2 linked regions of the Caenorhabditis elegans genome follow. The protein of the gene in region 2 interacts with the protein of the main gene of each other region in a pairwise test. Each region holds a gene or a part of one and is shown on either strand. Other genes may lie near its edges.

Region 1 (6,142 bases), on a different chromosome or scaffold from region 2:
ATTGCCGGAATTGAAAGTTTTCGGCAAAATGGCAAATTGCCGAAATTGAAAAGTTTTGGCAAATCGGCAGATTGCCGGAATTAAAAATTTCGGGAAAACCGACAAATCGCAGGAACTGAAATTTCCGGCAATTGGCCGGAATCGAAAATTTCCAGCAAATCGGCAAATCGCCGGGAGTGAAAATTTCCGGCAAATCGGCATCTTTCCAAAATTAAAAACTTCCAGAAAATCGGCAAATTGTCGGAATTGAAAATTTCCGGCAAATCGACAAATGGCCGGAATTAAACATTTCCGGCAAACATAATTTGCTCTTTTTTGGAATTGCGGTATGTTGTTTTATCTTTTGGATACGGGTTTCAATCAATAAACACCATTAAATTTTTTTTCTGAAAAGACGTCAACAAAACCAACACGCACAAAACACTTTTCTAACCTGAAAAATTCCGTGTGACCGAACAAAAATTCATTGCAAAAACTTTTAATTTCAGACTTCCTCCTCACGAAATGCGCTAAACTCGAAATTCTTGAAATAGTTTTGATAACAAGTAACATATTTATAAGATCGATTGTGATGAGAAAAAAACAGTTTAAAAAAAACATGAAATTGAACTAAAAAGATAATAATCAAAGTTATCAAGAACGTTTAAAAAATTGGCTCAGGCTTTGGATCCATGAGCAACTCTTCCGGCTTCTTTTCCATGTGCGTTGGCGGAATATGTTTTGGCTCACTCGGTGCGGCGGCCACTTGTTTCGCAAGGTGAGGATTTCGGTTTCTCACAACTTTAATCATGCGTCTTGGTGAGGCAGATGTTGGCTGATTTAAGAGATCCGTTTTATTCTCTACCGATTTTCTTGTTCGGTAACTCATTGAACCAAATGCAGTCGTTAACATTCTTCCTAGACGGACCGCTGGTTTCTCTACGTTCGTTTTGGTTGGTGGTTTTTTTTCAACGGGGCTCGAAGATTCCACGTGGGTAGGTTTGTTTTGAAGAAGCGTAGGTACTAATTCTTCTTCTTCTTCTTCCTTTTGAGGCGCCCCAAATGATTGACGTATTCCCTCCATCTCGGATGAGCTTGATGAGTCTGTGGACGTAGAAGGCTGGTTTTGTGCACGTGGCGCTGTAGTCAATGCGTCTTTAAGAGTATTAGTGCGAAGAACGACATTCCCTTGAACTACAACTTTCGGAGGTCCGGTTCCGTTTTCAAAACGCAAGTATTTCTTTCCATTGACAACACAGAACTTTAGTGGCGCAGATGGCGGAGTGGGGGAGCTTGGCTTCTCACCAAATGCATTACGAGCATAAGAAACTTTGGATTTGTGCAAAAGCGCCTCGTCGGCAATTGAATGACCTTCCAAAACACGCGTTGCTAGGTGAACATAGTCAATTGGAGTTTTCGTTTTTTTTGCGTTCCATGAGATACTCGATGATCCAGCATCATCCTGTTCAGGCGAATGAAGCTTTCGCTTTCTGCGTTCTACAGTGTTCTGCATCTCACTTTGATTGGGAATATACGGTTCACTAGGTGCATCTTCACTGTGATCTCGATAAGCTTTTGCAGCTGCAGCAGCAAACTTGTTGTCAAGAATATCCTCGATTTTCCGTCTCCGAGATGTGAAACGATTATCTTTCCCATTGATGAGTTGAATGAGTTCTTGCTTATCAGCATCACTGAGGCTAAGATTATGATTCAGCAACTCATTTAGATTCGTCGATGGAGGCACCTTAAACGAATAATTTTTTAAATTTTTTTAAAATTTTCACAAGTGTCACAAGACTCACCGATTGCAAAAGCGCAACCAGCTCTGAGAACGGTTTGGGAGACGGTTTACTGAGAGACCCATTGACCATCCTTGGCACGTGGTTACGGTAATAAGATTTAATGGAATTCTTGAATGAGTAAAGCGGAGTGTTCGACGTAACCTTCCCTTTGTGCAGGTCGCCGACTCTCTTAAAACATTTCACCGTTGTAGAACAACGAGATATGACAATCAAACCTTCAGTGCTCTATAGATATCATGGCCACGCATCAATCTGTCCGGTGGCATCTCATTGATCTCGCTTTCCGTTTTAGCTTCAAAGGCGTCGCACATCATTTCGTACTGAAAAAGTGGTGTATGGTTTTTTTTAAACTAAAATCTCTAAACTAAAAGGGGGCAGGATAGCTCAGTCGGTAGTGGTGGCCGCTAGCAATCTGGAGGTCACAAGTTCAAGTCCAACCTCACCACCTAGGTTTTCATCCAGCCTCTATTGGTAAGTAGAGCAGTCCACGATAGGATTATCGGCCACAGTCCCCGGCTAGGACGTGGCTTAAATTATAACTCAGTGGGAGCACCACCTGAATCCCAGATCCGTAGTGCATAGGACTTGAAGAACGGATCGTCCTTTAATTCTTGTTTTCTAGTCTAATGTATTAATATCGATCACATATATAAAATAAAATAGAGGTTGTACTAAACAAAACACCAAAAATTTTGAACTTTTGCCATGAAAATTATAAATAAAATTAATAACTTTTAAATTAGAATTTATGTTCTAATCAGCTTTAGAAAAGTTTTCACAGCTTTTCAAACTTAACTATTTTGAAAAAAATACTGAACAACTTACTACAAAATCAACATGATCATAGCACATCCTTAGCCTCTCATGACGAATCGCTTTCTCTGCAGTTGCCATTCTAAAGTGGCCAGACATCACTGCCGCCATCAAAACTTTCACAGCTTCGTTATCAGTCATTGCAATGCTTTCTCGCATTAAAAGAGCCTTCTCGCAGAGTATGCACGGAGTCAGATAGGTACAATACGTGTAGTCACTCGGTTGAGATCCCTCTCGTGTGGCACGGGGTTTCGAGGGGCTGGGTTCACTTGGAAAGTGTGAAAAAATTTCCGCGCTACTTTTGAATTGTCCCTTGCTTGCAGCCGCCGTCAGAACATCCTTCACGCTTTGCGTTGGTGTTGAGTTTGGAATTGTATTCGCAAAATGCTTCATGATCGAAGCAGACTCAGCTGATTGTTCTTCAGTTGCTGAAGCTTTTTTCTCTTGGAGCTGAAACCATATACGCATTATTATGAATAATCTTCAAACATTTCTGCTTACCAATCGAACAGATTCCATTGACTGGGTAGGTGTTTGTATTGTCTTGACTTTTGGAATTGTCTTTTTTTCAGCTTGTACATTGGAGTTTGGCTGAAACATTGAAGATAGAACACTTCTTATTCAACCTTATCATGATTCAAAACGACCGAATATCATAATAAAACACTCCAAAAATTTTTAGATCTTTCATAATTTCCAGTCAAAGTTTTGGCATATTGCCAAAACTATGAAAAATATGAGCTTTTGAGGAAATCCACAGCAATGTCGCATGTTCCGACCCCAACAATGTTTTAATACAAGTAGGCAAAACAAAATTGCATTTTAAATGTAGGAGAACATTTTTTTGTCGACTTCCAAAATTATGATTGGCAAACACTGAATGATTGTCACTTTTTGACAGTAAATAAAAAATTTTCAAAAAATGTTTGAAAAGTTTTATTTTGATATTTGGTCCTTTTGGCACTAAAGGAGTAGTTTTTAACAATTTCCCCACTGGCGCTACTCCACCTTTAACTAGATATATCAGAAAATGGGAGAAAATCCTTAAAAAGCCATACCTCTCTTTTGACACCAACAACAACTGCGGCAATTGGGTTGAAATGCCGGACGAGCTCCTGGAAACATGTGAGCTGCAGAGCATCCGTTCCAATGCCGGCACTTTTAACAAACTTCATCGCTAGGGCATTGCATTTCTTGTTGAAAGCCATCCGATCGTTCGCCAAGCTTGACATTCGCATAGCATCAACGTTTTTCATTCGAAATTTTCTTTTCGCAATGATTTCTTCTTTTTCATCTGCCGAGACAACATCTTTAGCTGGAGCCGCTGGAGCCAACATTAGGAATCTGAATAAGTGATAGTGTATGATAAGCAAGATAGGAAAGTAAAGGAAAATTGTCATTTGGTGATGTGAAACCATTTGGAAAGAATTAGAAAAAAACCAGTTGGCATCAAATTTCGGTGAACATTTATAAAACTGATATAAAACTACAAAATATAAAAATGATGAGATCATCTCATCATTGTGAGGTTTCAGATGAATGATGATTAAAATAAATAGGTAAAATAAAAGTGGTAATTTTAAGGGCAATCAAAGTAACAGGGTAAAACTATGCGTATGACTTAATCATCAAAAACATCAATGGAGAAAAAATTATATATAAAAACAACAATCAGGAACGGTGGATGAAAATATTTCCACTTATTCGTTGCTGGGTGGTGTGGGGGTTGGCAGCTTATTAGCATCTTTGCGCGGTCGTCCGACTGGCTGAAAAAATATAAAAATAATTCAAAGCATATATTTTTCAAAAACTCACTCTTCCAGCAATCTTGGGCTTTTTAACAATTGGAGATTCTTCATACTCTTCCTCCTCCTCTTCCTCATCAGCAAAAGCAAAGCTTCGTCTAGCAACAGCTTGTCGAATCAATCTTCCACTTGGTGTTTTTTCAGGCACGTATTCGCAATCTTCGCCGACAATTTCTCCGTCTTCGAGTTGTACGTAACCTTTCTTAAGTGCACGTCGTTGAGATGTTCCCGGATTGTAGTCGTAGTCGGTGAGGCTTTTTTCAGCTTCTGGTGTTACACTATTCTTGGGATACTTCCTTGGGCGCCCTCTTGGGTTCGGAGTATGAGCAGGTGGTGTTACCAAGTTAAGAGGTCCATCCTCGTTTGACAACTCCCGCTTTCTATAGGTACGTTTTATCACTGGAGCATTGTTGTAAACTGCTGCTTGACTGGGCTCGTCGTCTGAAGTCTCTTCCGTTGGGGATCTTGACATTTCTTCATATTCCTCTTCTTCTTCTTCTTCCTGAGTATATTCAACACCGTCGGGGTTTAACATATTCGCCAAATCAATGGCTGAATTCTTATCAGTTCCAGACTTGCGCTCTTTGAGTTTGAGGAAGTTGTTCCCTTGAATGATATACGTGGTCTCAACTTTTTCTGGAGCAGCATCTGGAATCATTCCTTTCAAAAGTCTACCACGACTGCTGAACGCTGCATCTGGGAAATGGCTTCGGCAAATTAGGTTTTCCGTATTGGTGTGAAGTCGGGCTTCAAATTCTGGTCCAAGCTTATCCACCCATCTAGCCAAACGTTCCTCACTTCTCGGGACACGAAGCATTCCACCTCGGTCGCCACGTTTCGAACAGAAGCAGCAAACGCCCGGATTGTCGCATTCCTCATTTTCAGACGGTTTGACAGTTGGGAGCTTGAAATCTTCCTGCTCTATAACCTTGACAGTTCCGTCATGCTGATCAGCTTCCAGAACTTGCTTGCGTGGCTGGCGAAAGAGTTTCGGTATGATTTCTTGCTCATCCACATCGTTTCTCTCTGGCTCAGGTTCGGGCTCGCGGTAGTCAAAGTATTGTTGTCCAAGTTTCTTCAATTCCTAAAAACAATTAATTTGTTTCAAAATGTGCAATTTTAAAAACGGAAACTTACCGCTGGCGTTTCACGAAGATGATTATTTCTTTCGGCAAAATCGTGAAGAATCTTTCGAAGTTGTGAAGCAATAATGTGTGGACGGAGGGCGGAAACAGTGATCAATGCGTTCTGAATCAAGTCCAATGGGCAAATCAGAATATCATCGGCAGATTTCAGACGTAGCATCTGGTAGATCTCGTCGAGGGTCTCCAGGAAATGGAGACGGCAAATGTACGTTTTGCTCTCACGCGCCATGAAAAGCTGTGCCTGTCCTAGAGTAAATTCTCCGCGATAAATACAGCCCAACATAATCAACAGCTTTTCATTTTCAATCGTCACATTCTTCAGACGCTCGTGGATTTCCAAGTGACCACATACTGCACAGCGACGGTTGCAAGCTCTGCGCTTCTGGAATTCCATAGTCACACGATGCCTGAAAATTGGAAATGAAACTGAGGTTCAGAAAAAAATATAGGTTACCTTGCAAACGCATCTTCTGCCGATGCGTCATTGAGATTATCACTGTACATAAGCCGTTGAGCCCCAATTAAATTGTCATAGTCGGGTTCTCCGTTGAAATCGTCCAGTGGTTCCAATTTGAAGTCATCCCTCTGTACTTTTCCA
Region 2 (4,048 bases):
AGCTTCCCTTTGTTTTCCTACAAATAAATCATTTTGCATAAAAATTGTTAATTCGAGAATATACAAAACTGGTTGCAAAACATTTTCTAGGTCTGAACTGTCTTCTAATGGTATATTTGAACTCACACTCACGTATTTTATTTTATGGAATTGATTTCAAAGACACTAATCACGGTATACAAGCAGAGCATAGGTCAACATCATTAACCATTGTTGTCATTTCTTATCTAATCAGTTTTAGTTTTTCATGCAAAAATGATATTTGCACTTTTTCGCTACATCATCGACTTTTACAGATTCTAGAGTACTCTCTCAAAAAACTCATCTCGATTTCACTCAAAAAAGAACATGGAAGATGAAACCACAATTGTTGGAAATATTGTAATAGCTTTCACTAATCTACCACCTTCAGCACGTACTTTTCAAATTCCTCTTGAATTTGATTGATTTTTCCAACAGTTTTTATCGCTAGTCGTGTGTTTTACTTTTCATGTTGTGTTTCGATGTGAAGTTCTCTGATTCTGCCTGTTATTTAAAATTGATAGTAAACTTTTCGTACACCTGTTTGGTTATAAAAATCCACGTTAAAAAGTGATTCCGATATTTAATGAAACATTTATTGAATAATTAAGAGAGTAACATTTTAAGATGGATTGAAAGAATGCCGAGGCGTTGAAAAATTAAGCCGTATTGTTTCGTATTACAACAAACGAAAAAGTGCAATGGAAATGGTAAAGTAAAAGCAATAGTATCAAATCGAAAAAATGCTAAAAAAGCGATAGTAGCTAAAAGAAGAAAAATTAACACGGAAAAAGTAATTGGGTGATATTAAATTATTGATAATTGGTTACTTCTCCGGTTTCATCAAAATCTTCTTCATTTTGGAGTGTTTCCTTGATAGCAGACAATCGTTTCTTAGCAGATGCCAGATGTTCTTTCATTTTAGGTGAAGTTGTCTGAGAAGAGACACGTTCCTCGTAGAACTTTGTGCACAATCTTTGGAACTTCAAGTTGAACTGTTCGAACTCTTTTTGAGATTCTTCATATTTCGACAAGGCTTCGGATTTCATTTTCTTGGTCTCTTCAAGTTCATGTTTCAAAGCTTTGGTTCCATTTTTCATTTCATCAAGTTCCTTAGAGGTGTCGTTGTTTTCAGATTTCAATGTAAGAATATCACTTCTCAGACACAAAATTCTGACTTCTCTTTCATTGATTTCATGTACCAATACATCTTTCTCTTGTTTCAATTGTTGAGCTTCTTTGAAATATCTCTCTCTCGAATCCTTTTCCATATTCAATTCATATCTCACTCCCATACAAATGGCCGATTGTCTTTTGATAAATTCGTTCAAATTTTTCTCAACTTCAGTCATTCTTTCCTTGTATTCTTCAAAGTTCTTTTTGATTCTCTTCAATTCCATTTCTTGTTTCATCAATGTCATTTTGTTCACATTGATCTTCTTCTCATCATAGAATTCTTCACAAGCCTCGATAAAAGCATCCTTTTCATGAAGACGTTCTTTCAATTTTTCCAATGACTTTTGATGTTCTCCATTCAAATCTTCAACCTTCTTTTCCAAATTATTGATTATTGTGTAGAGACGATTGAGTTCCGAATCATGGCACTTCGCTTCCCCTTTCAGATCAGAGATCTCAAGTCGAGAATTGGCAAGCTCTCGTCGTCTGAAATTGAACATATTAAGAATGGGTTAGTACAATATAATCTATATAACAGGTTGCACGTTGTCCTAGAGTTCAAACAACTTACGTTTTCTGATGATCAAATCGTTCGTCATCCAATTTCATTTGAAGAAGTGCGATCTCCGATTTCAACTTGGACTCGGTGGGAGTGAAGAATGGATTTTCAGCAAACATAGTTTCAGTTCTGAAAAATATTTAATTGAAAAGAAACGTTTAGTGAAACTGCAGTAGAAAATACTAGAGCAAATAAATAAATGAAAAAAGGAAAGATGCACCTTTTGAGAATGTTAGGTGAGAATGAGTAATTGGATCGAAAAAACAGTGAGAGAGAACGATGGTGAGAATTTACAGCGTCCAAATATGGATCGATATTCACAATTTTGGAAAAGCGTTGCATTGTATGGTGATCTTCTGTCGAAGAACATAATATATTGATTGGATCGAGAGAAGTCATTCAGAATGTAGTTGACTCCAAATCTATGGCTATACTAAAATGGGCATTTTGTAAACGTTGAAAGAAACTAAATTTCCAATTCCAATTAATCTAGCTCCCACTATTGTTAATTCAGTACCATCGATACAAATCTCGCAGGTTTTATCAATCTTTCATCCCACTCAAACCTTAAGAAAGAAAAAAATGTTAACATTCAAAGATGTAAAAAAATTTTATCACTTTCAAGTTTCAAAAATTAATTTTGGCTATAAATATGCTATTCCAGTTTTTAATTGAAAATCTAGCAGTCTCGAAGGCCATATAAGCTATTTAAAATCAGATATACGTGCAATACGATCAGGAAAAATCCGGTACATGAAAAACCAAAGTAATACTTTTTTACACTATTTTATTTACACTAGAAATGTCAGTATTCTGAAATAGAGGGCTCTATTCTCTTTTCGTCTTCGGTTGAAGATTTTTTAAAGGAATTAATACAAATACACAATTACTTACTAGGACTGCAACTGGGATATCTCAGAAAATTAAAACAATCAAAATAAGAACAAAAAAATAAACGTACCGAATGGGACCTGGATAAAATGAGAAGAATGAATTGAGAACAACATGAATGAGAGTGAATGTTAGGTAGTTCATTACAGCGTCTGGATTTGGATCGATATCCAGAAAGGCTCTATGAGATCGTCTGCTTATTGTCTCCCTCTCCCTGAAACGGCAGATTGAGAAGGTACCAAAATATAAGGTCACAAAAACTGGTACCCTAGATTTATAGAACCATGAAATAGCTAATGGAAGTTAAGTTTATATGTATGGGGCTCTTCAAACTAGGATTTAAAAAGAGACAAAGGAAAGACTGAATTGAAGTATTAAAAACGTAATATATTTATTTGGCGGTCGCAGCGTCCGAACATGAATTGATATCCAGATTAAATCCGTTTTATTGTCAACTGTGGCACCTCTTTATCCTTAAAGTGAAAATTAAAATCCATAAAATGTACTCTAGACTGACGATGACACTCGGCTGAAATTTAATTATTTTAAATCGTTCACTTAAGTAGCTTCATTGATCTATTGAAACCAAAAATACAAACGAAATCCCACCAATATTTGTTGTAATTCCTAAATACAGAAGTTATTCAGACATTTGCCAATATTACCAACACTTCCATTTGATTTACCCTAGTTTTCAACACACAAATACTTGCATGTTGTTCTTAAATTTTTTTTTCTTTCTTAAGAAATAAAAAGAATATGATTTCAAAATGTGGCATGCAAATCTGACTATCAGACAATTGATAATGAGTCAAATCTTTGTATATAATTTTTTTTAATTAGCAAGATCTTTGTAATATTCTACTTTACTAAAGCTATTCAAGCATTTGTTGCCTTCTATCAGTATTCATCTAAAAAGTTTAATAACAGGTTTTAGACAAATTTCAATTTTTTTTTCGGGAAATGCACTTTAAGAGTCTATTGTAACAATCACTTGATCGGTTTGTAGTCACTTGATTATCTAAAAAAAAAGCTCCTCCCTCTTTCTGATCAACTAGATGGAAAACCAAACAAAATGCAACATTTCTTATCGCAGAATTCGAATTGATAAAAAGAAACCTCCAAAAACTGCTTTGAAAATCAAGTGCTTATTTACATTTTCAGGTTTTCAAGAAATGCTTCATGTTGATAAAGTGGACAGTCTCCAGACTGAAAAGGTTAATATTCGTGCAAGTGGGCTCGTTGAATGGAGTTGTTATACATTCATTTTGAGGTGAGATCTCAATTTTTTTGTTATTCTTCATTTGTATCTTTGAGTTTTTGAAGATCATGATGTTTTAAGTGTATTCTGTAGATATCATGTTGATAAAGCTGTAGGCATAAACATGCCTTACTGAGCGC

Evidence for each region.
Region 1: the proteins of vet-1 (region 2) and lin-15A interact in a two-hybrid assay, tested with the Caenorhabditis elegans proteins (2 studies listed by BioGRID).

The regions. Positions count from the first base shown.
Region 1 is NC_003284.9:15,729,764-15,735,905, reverse strand, and holds lin-15A (Protein lin-15A), read right to left. Parts: upstream 3,939-6,142; 5' UTR 3,932-3,938; coding exon 3,653-3,931; intron 3,186-3,652; coding exon 3,096-3,185; intron 3,045-3,095; coding exon 2,607-3,044; intron 2,102-2,606; coding exon 1,997-2,101; intron 1,950-1,996; coding exon 1,782-1,949; intron 1,724-1,781; coding exon 644-1,723; 3' UTR 541-643; downstream 1-540. Other genes in the region: Protein lin-15B, read right to left, coding at 4,295-4,360, 4,410-5,483, 5,537-5,951, 5,999-6,142. UniProt on the Caenorhabditis elegans protein: Synthetic multivulva (synMuv) class A protein. SynMuv proteins are required to repress the induction of vulval development.
Region 2 is NC_003279.8:6,200,192-6,204,239, forward strand, and holds vet-1 (Very Early Transcript), read right to left. Parts: upstream 1,886-4,048; 5' UTR 1,876-1,885; coding exon 1,769-1,875; intron 1,684-1,768; coding exon 834-1,683; 3' UTR 607-833; downstream 1-606. Other genes in the region: col-55 (Collagen triple helix repeat protein), read left to right, coding at 1-2; T05E7.1 (BAAT_C domain-containing protein), read left to right, coding at 3,823-3,920.